Cricetulus griseus: one gene and its partners. Each later gene encodes a partner of the first gene's protein in a complex. Links are inferred from orthologs where the notes say so. Each region holds a gene or a part of one and is shown in the gene's direction. Other genes may lie near its edges. The genes, in order: Fblim1, Flnc and Flna.

Region 1 (4,786 bases):
GATGGTGGTTCGTGGAGAGGGCTATGGCAGTGGTGGCCAAGCCTGGCCCTCCTCTTATCCCCCACACAAGCCCATGCCCAGCAATCAGTCTTTAGTATCCAAGGCCCTAACTTTCCCCCTCCAGCCTCCCACACTCAGCTCACTGAGGGGAACCCAGGCAATCTGTGTTAGTAGTGGGATGGTCCCATGTAATGACTCCAGGCTCTATGTGTGCCGTCTCATGGAGATGGAGCTGGGTTAGTATATAGTGCTTGCTTAGCTTATGCACACACACACACACACACACACACACACACACACACACACACACACACACACACACACACACACACACACACACACACACACACAGAGAAAGGAACCTTTGTGCGAGTAGGAAGAGCCCTGCCTCTCCAGATCTAGTTTCAACTGGTCATCAAGGTTTAATCAGTTCTTCCTTTCCGGATACTTCTGTCTCCTGCACCCAAATGCTGGGGTTTTAGGCAAGGGCCATGTAGCTCAAGTGGACTTTGGCCTCAGCTTCTAAGTGTAGTACCTCCATGCCGAGCTTTCTTCTTTTTTCCTTTATCCCCCACCCCCACCCCAATGCAAACAGTGTTAGTCTGCATAGCCCTGGCTGTCCTGGAACTCACTCTGTAGACCAGGCTGGCCTCGAGCTCATGGATCCGCCTGCCTCTACCTCCCAGTGCTGGGATTAAAGGCGTGCACCACCACCTGGCATTGCTCACTTTCCGAAGGAACAATTTAAGACTCAAAGAGTTGTCACTCCTGCCTAACAACCCACAGCAAGCCAGTGGCAGCTGTCCAGAGTGGACTGAGGTCTGGAGCCAGACCCGAGCCTTTACACACTGCTGCTTGGCCTGCTGGGTGAATAGACCTGTGACCTGTGGGGCATCTGAGCGAGCCATCTCTTCCCCCTCTGTAGGGTGCTGTCCCCCACCTCCTTCCCTGAGTGATGAGGATCTAGACCTCCTACCACCTCCTCCACCGCCCCCTTCGGCCTACCTGGCTCTCCCAGAAGAGGAGCCTCCCGCCCTGACGGGGTCATCACTCATTTCTGACTTGGAGCAACTACACCTGCCCCTACCCCCACCTCCACCTCTGCCACAGGTACTGACAGTGTCCCCAAACCCCCTGGATGGGTGGGGGACCTGGGCCTTTCCAGTATTACCAAAGGGGGCATGGTTTGGTCCCTTATGCTTGAAGGTTATTAGTCTTTAAGCCTCTTCCAAGCCCCAAAGCTGGTAGAACTGTTGAGGATTTTCAAGGTCCCTGGAGAGACATGTCCCTCGTCCCCTTTGTTTCTTAGTTACCCACTCTGCTCCAAGACATGTACTGGTTCCGACCCAAATCTCCACACTGCATAAGAAGACAATTAATCGTCTGGCCTTCATAGAGAGGGTTGTTAACCTGAGTGGTGTCCTGGGTCACGGTCTATGTCACCTCCAGCACAGTGTCAGTGGGCGGGACATGTCATCCCCAGGACATTCTCAGAAACAGGAGTCAAACTGGGCCTGATAGTTGCAGGACCATAATCCCAGATACAGACAAGGCCAAGGCAGGTTGACCACAAGGCCTAGCCTAGGCTACAAAGTGAATGGAAAGCAAGCCTGGGCAACTTAGTGAGACCCTGTTTCAAACTAGTAGGTAGAAAAAAGGTTGGGATATAGTTAGCTCAGTGGTAGAGTGTTTACCTAGCAAGCATGAGAGAGTCACTTTGATGGAGGGAGCCCCAGGTAGGGAGCAGGGAGGTCCTTGGCTCTTGCTGCCATGGTAACCATCCTGCTAAGCTATAGAGGCAGGACACTTGCTTCTCCAGACTCAGTTTCCGCATCTGTACAATGGGACTAATTGTACTCGGAGCCACCTAGACAAAGAGCCAAGATGGGAGAGTCTGGTGGGGTCCCCACAAGCTGATCTCTCTCCTTTCTCCTTGATCTATGCCCCTCCCCAGGCTCCACCGAAGGGATCTTCTGTCCGGCCTCTGACCAGTCACCTCAAACCCACAGAAGAGGAGCTACCCCCTCCTCCAGAAGAGCCTGTCACCTTTCCAGAGAAAGAGGCATCCACAGGTACAGCCACAGGCCTGATTTCTGATCCTCCTGGGGCCAGAATGGGCTTCTCATAGGAAGTGTGGGTGTAGGGCTCCCCCTTCTCACATGACAGGGATGTCTATACAGTGTGCAACCACTGAATGTCCATTGCTGCCTTGTGCTTGCTTCAGGTTTGTTGTTATTGAGATAGGGTCTCATGTAGTCCAGGCTAGCCTTGAATCCCATATATAGCCAAGGATGACCTTCTAGTGCTCTACCTGTGTCACCTTGTGAGTACTGGGGCTGTAGTTTGCCACTGTGCCTGGTTTATATGGCACTGCAGACAGAAGCCAATGCTTCCTCCTTGAAAAGCACATTCTCCTACCGCCCAGCTACAGCCTTACCTTTGTGTGTTTGTATTGAGACAATCTGGCCTTGGGCCTGAGAGCCTCTTGCCTTAGCCTCCTCAGTGTCAAGATTACAGGATAGCTGGCACTAGCTGGCTTGGAACTTACTATGTATGAAGTCAGGCAGGCTTCAAAGTTGTTGCAATCCTCCTGCCTCAGCCTCAATGCTGGTGAGCTACTATGCCCACCTTTCTTTTTTTAATTCTTTTTTGTTGTTGTTGTGGGGGATGGGTAGCAAGACAACTTGTCACCAAGAGAGATGACTTTGTTTCTGTCCCTGGGGCCCACGTGGTAAAACAGACTCTCAGAGGTTGTTCCCTGATCTCCACGCAAGGTGGACATACAATCAATCAATCAATCAATCAATAAACAATGAAGGTTTTGTAGTTATTTTTCCATTTGTTTATTCATGTCTGTATGTGTGACGTAGGAGGGTTAGAAGTTTACTGTCGGGGCTGGAGAGAGGGCTCTGTGGTTAAGAGCACTGACTGCTCTTCTAAATGACCAGGGTTCGGTTCCCAGCACCCACATGGCAGCTCATGACTTTAACTCCAGTTCCAGGGGATCCTGTGCCCTCTTCTGGCACCAGACATGCATGTCATGTACCAATATACATGCAGGCAAATACCTAATACATATAAAATAATAAAAAAAAGTATTTTTAAATCCAGGCGTTGGTGGCACATGCCTTTAATCCCAGTACTCGGGAGGCAGAGGCAGGTGGATCTCTGTGAGTTCGAGGCCAGCATGGTCTCCAGAGTAAGTTCCAGGACAGCTTCCAAAGCTGCAGAGAAACCCTGTCTCAGAAAAAAAAAAAAAAAAAATATATATATATATATATATATATATATATATATATATATAATCAAGAAGTTTAAAGTCATCCTCAGCTACATAGTAAATTGGGGGCTACCCTGAGCTACAGGAGACTTTGTCTGAAAAACAGCCAACCAGGCATGGTGATACACACCTTTAATCCCAGCATTTATGATGCAAAGACAGGAGGATATCTGAGTTTGAGGCCAGCCTGGTCTATACTGCAAGTTCCATAAATTCCATGCCAGCTAGGGGTACACAGTGATACCATGCTTTTCCATGCTTTCCCCACCCCCCAAACACACACACCAGTGACCAGTGTCTTTTCTTTTCTTTTCTTTCTTTTTTTTTTTTTTTTTTTTTTTTTTTGAGACAGGGTTTCCCTGTGGCTTTGGAGGCTGTCCTGGAATTAGGAACTAGCTCTTTTAGGCCAGGCTGGTCTCAAACTCACAGAGATCCACCTGCCTCTGCCTCCCGAGTGCTGGGACTAAAGGCATGCACCACCAGCTGCCTGGCCACACACACCAGTTTCTAATTTTGTCCTTTGAGCTTTGGGACCAGGGATCCTGTCTGTAGCAGCCACAGGGCCGTTCTCATTGTTGGCTTCCCCAGTGAGTCTCTGAGTGGGTTTCCTATCTCCAGGTGCAGCAGCTCTTTGACCTTTTTTTAAGGCTGTGTGGCAGTCCCCAGTAGGAACATAGGTGTGGTGGGTTACACAGCCTCCTCCTGATGGATTTGTAGGTGGTTTCTTGCCGTAACTGCATGGAGCTGATTCACCTAGCTGTGGGGTTTTCTCGGGTAAATTCCTAGAAGAGGAAGTACCCTAAAAAAAAAAAAGGCTGCTGTTTTTGATTTTGTATTTTTGTCAAATCACCTTCCTTACTCATCCCAGCCTACGTGCTCCCACCAGCAGGGCTGAGTTGTTTCTAGAAGCCTCTACAGCACTCTGTGCCTTGTGTAATTGAGCTGTGACCTGCTTCCTTAGGTCCTGCCCCAGGCACTGAAGACACCGTTGAGTCTAATGCAGTATCCTTTTTCCTGGGTCACAGAGCAAGACACAAGGGCAACTGTTTTCCTAAGTGTGTCATTTATTTTTCGACTTACGGTAGATTTTGTCACACACATACACAAAAAAGGGGGTTTTTGTTTGTTTTGTTTTTTTAAGGTACAGTCTTACTATATAGCTCAGGCTAGCCTGGATCTCTGTCTACCTTCGTTAGTCTTCAGGACTCTGGAATTACAGGTGTAAACCACCACACCAAACATCAGACTTTCTGGATCTTTTTTTTTTTTTTCTTAAGATTTATTTTAGCCAGGCATGATAGTGCATGCCTTTAATCCTAGCACTCAAAAGACAGAAGTAAGACCTCTGAGTTTGAGACCAGCCTGGTCTCCAGATAAGTTTGTTACTATTGTTATTATTATTATTATTATTGGCTTTTCAAGACAGGGTTTCTCTGTGTAGCCCTGGCTTTCCTGGAATTCACTCTGTAGACCAGGCTATCCTCGAACTCAGAGATTTGCCTGCCT
Region 2 (3,578 bases), on another chromosome or scaffold:
GGAGTGCTATGTCTCTGAGCTGGACAGTGGTGAGCTGGCCCTGCCCCTGCCATCTCCTGCCAGGCTGGGATCTCTGGGGAAGGAGTGGAGAGAGAGGGAAGCTCACCCACAACCTTCTGCCTCACAGATAAGCATACCATCCGCTTCATCCCCCATGAGAATGGTGTCCACTCAATCGATGTCAAGTTCAACGGTGCCCACATTCCTGGAAGCCCCTTCAAAATTCGAGTTGGAGAGCAGAGCCAAGCTGGGGACCCAGGCTTGGTGTCAGCCTATGGGCCTGGGCTCGAGGGAGGCACTACTGGTGAGTGTGTAGAGCTACAGGGGGAGTGGGGTTAGATTTGGGGGAGTGGTCAGACACTCTTGGTAGTTTGGGGGCGTGGTCAGACACTCTTGGTAGTTTGGGGGCGTGGTCAGACACTCTTGGTAGGTTCGCGCTTGTTGGTTCTGACTTGCAGTGCTGCCCAAGGAACCCAGGGCCCCACTCGGGGCTGCGTTCTTTCTTGCCTTCAGCCTTGCTCCTCTGTCCTCCAGGTGTGTCATCCGAGTTCATTGTGAACACCCAGAATGCAGGCTCCGGGGCCTTGTCTGTCACCATTGATGGTCCTTCTAAAGTGCAGCTGGACTGCCGGGAGTGTCCTGAGGGCCATGTAGTCACTTACACTCCCATGGCCCCCGGTAACTACCTCATTGCCGTCAAGTATGGTGGCCCTCAGCACATTGTGGGCAGCCCCTTCAAAGCAAAGGTCACAGGTGAGTGAGCATCCTGGGTGGAGAAGGTTCATACAGCCCAACCCAGCCCTGCTGGCTCTCATGGCCTTTCACATTTGATTGTGGTCTGCCCTCAGTTGTGGTCAAGTAACCATGATGGAGGTGGGCCTGACAAGTAACCCTGATGGAGGAGGCGGGCCTGACAAGGCAGCATCCCATTCTTTAGAGTTGTGCATCATGTCTTTAAAAATACAACTCTCTCTTTTTCAATGCTGGGGTTTGAAACCAGAGCCCCACCCATACTAGGCAAGTGCTCTACTACTGAGCTAGAGCTCTAGTTTGTTCTGTTTTAAAGCCACACTCTTGCTGACTCCCCAGAGGAGGTCTGGGAGGGTGAGGGATGGAGCCAGAAGTGGCTCAGGCCCAGGGATAAGCGGGGATTGGTGCATTGGGAGCTGCTTGTTTGGAATAGGTTCCATTCTTCAAAAGCTGCAGCTGAGGACAGGAGGGGGCCTGGTGCGTTCCATGTCACCCAAGGCCCATCCCAGAAGATTTTCAATGTCCTAGAAAAGGACAGGAAGTCCTTCTGACTGGGCCCTTGGCCACCTGCTCTGCTCTTCAGGTCCCCGGTTGTCTGGAGGCCACAGCCTTCATGAAACATCTACAGTTCTGGTGGAGACCGTGACCAAGTCCTCCTCAAGCCGTGGCGCCAGCTACAGTTCCATCCCCAAGTTCTCCTCAGATGCCAGCAAGGTGGTGACAAGGGGGCCTGGTCTGTCCCAGGCCTTTGTAGGTCAGAAGAACTCATTCACTGTGGACTGCAGCAAAGCAGGTATGTCCCAGCTTATCAGGGGGAGAAGGGGAGGGAGCAGGACGCTGTCCAGGGAGTAGGGGTGTGGGCTTCTTGTGGCCCTGGTGTGAGCCACTCCTCTCTGCCTCCCTCTCAAGGCACCAACATGATGATGGTGGGTGTGCACGGGCCCAAGACACCCTGTGAAGAGGTCTATGTGAAGCACATGGGAAACCGGGTATACAACGTCACCTACACTGTCAAGGAAAAAGGAGACTACATCCTCATTGTCAAATGGGGTGACGAAAGTGTCCCCGGAAGCCCCTTCAAGGTCAATGTGCCCTGAATCCCAGAAGTGCCTCCCCCAGCCCAGGGCCCCCACTTCCTGCCAAACTCACACCCACACAAATGTGCCATATCCCTATGCACACTCACAGAATCAGACACGAAAACACCTGCCTTAGGTGTGAAGTGAGTGGCACAACCTCCCACCCCACCGTGCACTTGAGGGGTGGAGGGCCTTTTATCTGTCTGGGATCAGTGTCCCTCAGATGTGACCTGAGGGCAGACTGGAGTCAGACTCAGGGGCAGAGACTGTGATATAGGGGGTTAGACAGGGGTTGGGGGGGGGTCTGTGGAAGCCCCGAGGATCATAGTGGGGCTGAAGCCATTGGGCAAGCACTGAGCTGGTTATCTGTGTGTGGGAGAAGTCACCCTCACAAACTGTCGAGCCTGAGGACTCTATTGGCAGCTCTGGTAGCCATAACCCTAGAGCAAGGGATTTGGAGAATAATCAGAAGGAAATACAGCCAGAACAAGCAGCGCCTGGCATGTGGACTGGCCCCGAGTGACGTGCTCTGCCCAAGCCAGGCTTCCTGGGGGACTGATTTCTCTTACTATATATTTTTTTTTTATGGTTGCACAGCTCTGCCCTATTGAGGGTCTTTTTTTACACATTGTGGGGCCCAGCTTTCTGGGAGACTTTTGCACATGTGGAAAACACCAAATAAAGTGTAGCTGTTGCAGAGGCTTGGCTGTTCTTTATGAGTGTGTGCGCTTGTCCACTGTTGCCTCCTGACCCAGAGTAGAGGACCACACAGAGGTGATTTGGCTGTTACCCAGAGACCTGACCCTGAGGGCTGAGAGCAAGAGCCTGGGAAAGATAGGAACTATGGTCTGAAATGTTGGCTGAAAGAGGACCTGATGGAGAATTAGACTCCCACTAGCTGGAAGGCTAGTAGATGGCAGATGAGAGGGAACGCTATTAAAGGTGACTGGAAGGCCACTTAACATTAAGCCCACCTTGAAGGATGTTCGTCACATTAGGTTCTTAGAACTGTGATCACAAGGCCAGGAGTGGTGGCCCACACCTTTAATCCCAGCATAAAGGCAAAGATGGCTCTTTCTGTGTTTCAGGCCAGATACATAGTTTCAAGACAGCCAGAGCTACATAGAGAGACCCTGTCTCAAACAAAACAAAGAACTGTGACCACTGCCTCAAGCAGTGATGCTCTTTATCCAGCAGAAACCAAATGAGAATCCCGAGCCTTGCTCCAGACACTAGGTCAGACCTGGAACAACTATACCCTCCCCTCAAGTCTTGACCTAGCTCAGGTCTCCTCTTGGACTCCATAGCAGCTTCTGAACTAATCCCTTGGTCCTTGACCTGCCCTCCATGTTCCATGCTGCTAGAATGGATCCCATTAAAGGCCTCATGTCCCTCTGGGTTAGAGCCAGAGCCCTTGTGGCTCTGGTGCCTTTCCAGGAGATGGTCCTCTCCACAAACCCCTGAGTTCAGACCAATCCCCCCACACGTGGTTGGGCAGGATATCCAATCTTCATTTATACTCTGCACCTCACCCTGCTCTGTGGTTTCCTGGGTACCTATGCTGCAGCTCTGGCCTCTGTCTGGAACACTTTTGCCTTCCCACACTCATCTTTCTGGCCTCTTCTGGCCTCTCCTGAGTCACTACTACCAATTTCCACACATCCGTGGGGCACATGTCTGCCTAAGATTATTACCTGACCAGTGACCAGATACCCATGGTCTCCACAACCAGTCTAAGCTCCTGACCCT
Region 3 (4,886 bases), on another chromosome or scaffold:
CTAGTTCAAGGACAGCCTGCAAAGCCACAGAGAAACCATGTCTCCAAAAACCAAAAAAGAAAAAACAAGAAAAGAAAAAGAAATTGGAGACCCTTCTTGGGTTTCTTGGATGTGTATGCATTGGGAGGGGCAGTAAAGAAAGTTCAAATTCAGTTTGTATGTGTGTGGGGGATGTCTTTGAAATGCAGCTCACAGTCACTACCTCCCCCATGCCCCTTCCATCTGCCTACCGGTTGATCTGATTACCATGCCTGTGGGTAAATGGGTTTATCCTCCGGAAAGACAATCATCTCCATGTACTCTAGTGCCACCTCACAAACTTGAAATCAAGCCACTAATTTAGCAATTTATGATAATTCATTGGCTTCCCTAGCAGAGGTCTCCTGCTAGACAGAACAGTGAGGGATCTTGATCTTATTGGGAGGCCAGAATGTGAAATGTCATTGCCAGTGGAGCCAACAAAGGTAGCACTGGATGCATAGTGCCTGGAGGGGACCCCAGCACTTTGCTCTTCAAGTTACACTATAGATTACTAAATTGACTCTGGAGATGTGATCAAACTCCCCCTCACTGCTCTTTCATATTCTTTCTTTTCTCCCTTTTATCTTACTATATAGCATGTGCCACCTTCTCTTTTTGATAATATTGAGTAGGAAAACAAATTAAATAGGCCTGTTATTCCAACATTTATGAAACAGAAATTGGGAGGGGGATTGCCACTTCAAAGCCCAGTCTGGGTGCTACATAGTGATTTCCAGATCAGCCTGAGCTGCAGAGTGAGTCCTAGTCTACACACACACACACACACACACACACACACACACACACACACACATCAGAAAAGGAAAATCTAATTTGCAATTATCTATTTCAATTTCATGTTATGTGCACACTGGCATAATGCAAATGTAGCTCATATTGGGGTTGCAGGTAAAATGAATAACAAAATGTTAAAAATGGCATTGCTTTATGTGTCCTTTCTGTAGGAAATGACATTTGAGTTGAATCTGAAACTACCAGGAAATGGGCACATAGAACAGGAAGAGAGAGCTTGACAATATTAGGTAATGGCTGTGCCTACCAACTTCACAGATATTTGGCACTTTGTACCACACTGCACACCCCCAGGCTTTAAGACTTCACCTGATTGCTTTGAGAATTCAATGTATTTTTGTTGTTTGCTCACAGCCAACAGCTGCACCTAGCAGGAACCAAATCAATGATAGCTAGCTACAAGGGCTTGTTCATTACAGTGCTCAGGGACCCATTGGGGCCTTAGGAACGAACGGTTGGTGCTCACTGCAATTACCTGTTTCATCTCTTCCCATGGAACAAGACCTGACCGGTGTGGCCAAACCAGGCTTGGGCAGAGGCAGAAGGCTGTGACTGTGGGCAATTCCCCTGTATAGGTGGCTTTGGAGCGGGGCCTTCTTTCCAGCCAGTAAGCATTTGGCTCCCTTGTACTCATCTAGCCTATTAAAGGTTGGGCCTAAACACAGGTTTTGCAGACCCCCCCCCCCCCCGGAAGCCTGGCGGCCCTCACGGAGCAGTGAGCTCATTCTGAGGGATGGCGTCGCCTGTCAGCCAGGGCACTTGAGCTCGTGGCGCGCCCCCGCATCCCCTCCCCGCCCCCGGCTCCAGGGCGATTTTACCAATTAAGGCTTTCTTGCCGGGACGGGCTCTGCCGGGCCCCGCGCGGGGCGGACGTGGGGCGGGGATGCAGCCAACAAGAAGGCGGGCAGCAGCGGCTCATTCGCGTGGAGGCGCGCGGCGCGCAGCGGACGCCAGGGGAGTTCTGAGGCCTCTGGCTCGAGCGCAGAGAGCTGGGCGCCACCCCGCGGTTGGAGGGACAGCAGGTGAGGGCTCTGTAATTAGCTCCACACCGGATAGTAGTCAGATAGTGGGTGCGACGCTCGGGAGCTGGGAAAGGTTTGGAAAGCAAGCAGAGAGGCCGAGGCCAGGCAGTTTGGGTGTGGACTCAGGTCCGAGGCATCGTGTTAGTGTCCAGACTTGCATAGTTTACCACAAACTTATGTTTGTGCTCAGGAATCTGTGAGCTCGAGGTCATGGGGGGGGGGTCCCTGAAAGAGGGGCTGGTATCTGAGTGTTTGGCAGGAGATGGGTACAGGCGTGGGTACCCATTAATTGGTCTTTGTGTGACTCTCTGGGGGTGGGAGGGAGGTCTTTTGAGACTAGTATCTTGATTGGGATAAGGGTGAGTGGCAACTTAGAAGGACACTTTTCAGCCAATGGCAAGGGTGGATATGAGTCCACCCTCATATGAATACATATGAGATGATGAGTCCCCTGCTAGTTTGGACATAGGGAGCTGATTTCGGGGCTGTGGTAGGGGTATAGCGAGACAGATTTCCAGCCTGGATCTTGGGTCCTGTCTCAGGTTGGTTCTGAGTATGACGGTCATTGCCAGCCAGAACATAAGCACCAAGGTTCCCAGATCCCAGGAAAGAAAAAGTGGGTGAAACCCACACACAGTCTCTTGCAGCTCCAAGGAGTCTGGCCAAGGTGGAAAGTTCAGGAAATCAATTCTCTATCTTGTCACACCTGAATTTGCCTTACAGGCACTGGTTTTACTTCAGGGATTTTCTGCTTCCTTCCCTCCTGGCGCCCCCTGGCTACACAAGTCTAGAAAAGCTCTTCAGGGTCCTAGTATAGCTGGTGGGCTTGGGTCTATAGTTCCCTATGGGAGGGCCTGGCCTAGGGTCTGATGGTGGGGGTGGGAGAGGTGGGCGGGGTGTGCCTAACATCGAAGAATCTACTCCAAATAAGGGAAAATATGAAAGAGCTGGATTTTGGCTTCCTGGAGCTGCCCCTGGATCTTTGAGATGGAGCGACATCTGGTGGTGGCACTGTGTCCACTCTAAGGCCAAGAACTCTCCCCCCTCCCCCACCCCTACCCCCGAAATAGCCAAATCATAGGGCTGGAAGCTGGGACTCCCAACTTCTGTGTGATCCATTACTATGATTCCGTCTTCCTTGTTTCCTGCCAATTAGTGAACTCAGGTGATCCAGACAAATGGCACACAGTGGAAAATCCATTATTGATTCAATTCCATACATGGGGATTTACTCTCCAGTAGGTCAGGGTAATCAGAAAGATAACTCTAATTATGTCTTGAATGACAGCCCTTAAATTTTCCATTTGGGTTACCCCCTCTCAGTTCTGCCATCCTGTCCCTCAACTCTCCCCTTGGCTTACTTGATGCAGGTATATATGAAAACAAAAGAGAGGATATGCAGGTGACTGGAGGTAGGATAGGGGAGTTCCATACTGAAAATGTTATTTGACGGGTGAGATTATAGAGAGTACCAAGATGAACATGCTGAGGCAGAGGTGGTGCCCATTGTGAATATAACCTTACCATAGCCCCACCACAGGCAATGCAGACACCCCAAGCAATAGGAGAGCCAACCATATTTGGGCATGCCATGTTGGCCAGCCCAAGGCCTCCTTCAACCACCAGTCTTTCAGAAGATAAATCATTGCTACAATTTGAGAAGTAGTGATAAAGGCCTGCCTTTCTGGAAAAACACAGAAGGGAACATTCTGGAGAGGCTTGAAGTACAGAGAATGTAGATGGAAGGAGTCTATCATGGGAAAGGTAAGCGAATTCCCTTAACTGGAGGGTGGTAGTGAGTGTCTCCTACAGTTTCTTGCCTCTGTGCCTTTGCTCACCTCTGCCTCAGTACAGCATCCTCATCATTATCCCCAGAATTATCTATCATAAAATGAACTTTAAGTGAATAGCTTCATACCCACTCAGGGAACACAACCTAGGCTCCTCAGCAAGCCTTGGTGCCTGCTGATTGTTTTTCAGTAATCTGGGACCCTATCCCTGAGCCTCTCCACACCTCTAGGGTCACACCAAACCTTGGGGATACTGTGCCAGACGAGAACTCTACTGCAGAACTCTTCAGGGCCCCAGGTGGATGGAAATGTGAGTTAGACAGGCACAAAGTGTACCCGTCTACACGCATCACAAGGCGGGTGTCTTCTGATTATGACCACTGGCATGTCTCGGGGCCTTTGGAAGGCTTCTTGGTCCTGGAGTGCTGGCAGCCTCCCTGGCCCAGTTGCTTGCCCCATTTCCTCCCAGATGGAGCTAGGGGGCAGGCAGGGCCACAGAGACTGAGAAGACCAGCGAAGATGGGTGGGGCGGGCCAGGGGTCTGCGGGTGGCTACTTAGGTGATGAGAGCCCTGAGTCGCAGCTGTTTCTTGGCACTAGTGTGCACAAAGAGTTCCCAGCAGTACCAGGCTGTCTGAAAGGATTCGCTCTCAGGATTGGACTCTTTGCATTGCTGTGGAACAGACTGCCCCTGAGGACCCTCAGCTCTGGAAGATGAGGGAAATGAAGATAGAGGAGGAGGGTGCAGGATTGGGGCAGAGTTCAAGTGATTCAGGGACCTTATTCGCTCCATCCCCTGCAGGGACCTTGAGGAAAGAGAGTCCCTTGTAAGGGCGTGCCAGCTGGAATTGAGCAATCCTGTGCCAGAATTGGTGTGTGCCAGAATTGCTCAGCCTTTCCCAGCTCTAGCGTCCGTTTCTTGTACTGTTAGCAGATGTTGCCGGACCTCCTCGTGCTCTTTGGGGCTCAATGACCCTCCCTGAAGCAGAACTTGGTCGCCTTGGGTGGAGCAGGGGAGGGGTGCTTTGTGGGGCATTCCAACGGGCGGGGCGAGGTGGGGCGGGCATGTCCCAGAAGCCCCACCCGGAGGCTCCGCCCCAAGGAAAACTTGCCTCTGGCTCCACCCTTTGCTCTCATTTAAAGGGCTCGCTCTTTCCCCCAGCGCAACCTCTGTTCTGTGCCTCCTCTCTGGTTCGCGGAAGTGCCTTCGGCTTTAATTAAAGGGCCGTCCCCTCGCTGAG

Evidence for each region.
Region 2: the proteins of Fblim1 (region 1) and Flnc are in contact, whole or in part, in an NMR structure (PDB 2K9U), measured with the Homo sapiens proteins. The link is inferred for Cricetulus griseus from reciprocal best matches to the Homo sapiens genes FBLIM1 and FLNC. Residues at the interface, in NP_001337080.1 of Homo sapiens: Arg8, Val9, Ala10, Ser11, Ser12, Val13, Phe14, Ile15, Thr16, Leu17, Pro19; in NP_001449.3 of Homo sapiens: Thr2339, Ala2344, Gly2345, Gly2346, Leu2347, Ser2348, Ile2349, Ala2350, Val2351, Glu2352, Gly2353, Pro2354, Ser2355, Lys2356, Ile2359, Phe2361, Asp2380, Glu2382, Phe2387.
Region 3: the proteins of Fblim1 (region 1) and Flna are in contact, whole or in part, in a crystal structure (PDB 4P3W), measured with the Homo sapiens proteins. The link is inferred for Cricetulus griseus from reciprocal best matches to the Homo sapiens genes FBLIM1 and FLNA. Residues at the interface, in NP_001337080.1 of Homo sapiens: Lys7, Arg8, Val9, Ala10, Ser11, Ser12, Val13, Phe14, Ile15, Thr16, Leu17, Ala18, Pro19, Pro20; in NP_001104026.1 of Homo sapiens: Met2207, Gly2208, Thr2263, Arg2264, Gly2267, Ala2268, Gly2269, Gly2270, Leu2271, Ala2272, Ile2273, Ala2274, Val2275, Glu2276, Gly2277, Pro2278, Ser2279, Lys2280, Ala2281, Ile2283, Phe2285, Cys2293, Glu2306, Phe2311.

Annotation. Positions count from the first base shown.
Region 1 is NC_048595.1:11,664,276-11,669,061, forward strand, and holds part of Fblim1 (filamin-binding LIM protein 1), read left to right. Parts: intron 1-925; coding exon 926-1,110; intron 1,111-1,954; coding exon 1,955-2,072; intron 2,073-4,786. UniProt on the Homo sapiens protein: Serves as an anchoring site for cell-ECM adhesion proteins and filamin-containing actin filaments. Is implicated in cell shape modulation (spreading) and motility.
Region 2 is NW_023276806.1:198,357,397-198,360,974, reverse strand, and holds the end of Flnc (filamin-C), read left to right. Parts: coding exon 1-29; intron 30-127; coding exon 128-304; intron 305-534; coding exon 535-753; intron 754-1,333; coding exon 1,334-1,543; intron 1,544-1,659; coding exon 1,660-1,847; 3' UTR 1,848-2,528; downstream 2,529-3,578.
Region 3 is NC_048604.1:1,462,302-1,467,187, forward strand, and holds the start of Flna (filamin-A), read left to right. Parts: upstream 1-1,726; 5' UTR 1,727-1,856; intron 1,857-4,807; 5' UTR 4,808-4,886. UniProt on the Homo sapiens protein: Promotes orthogonal branching of actin filaments and links actin filaments to membrane glycoproteins. Anchors various transmembrane proteins to the actin cytoskeleton and serves as a scaffold for a wide range of cytoplasmic signaling proteins.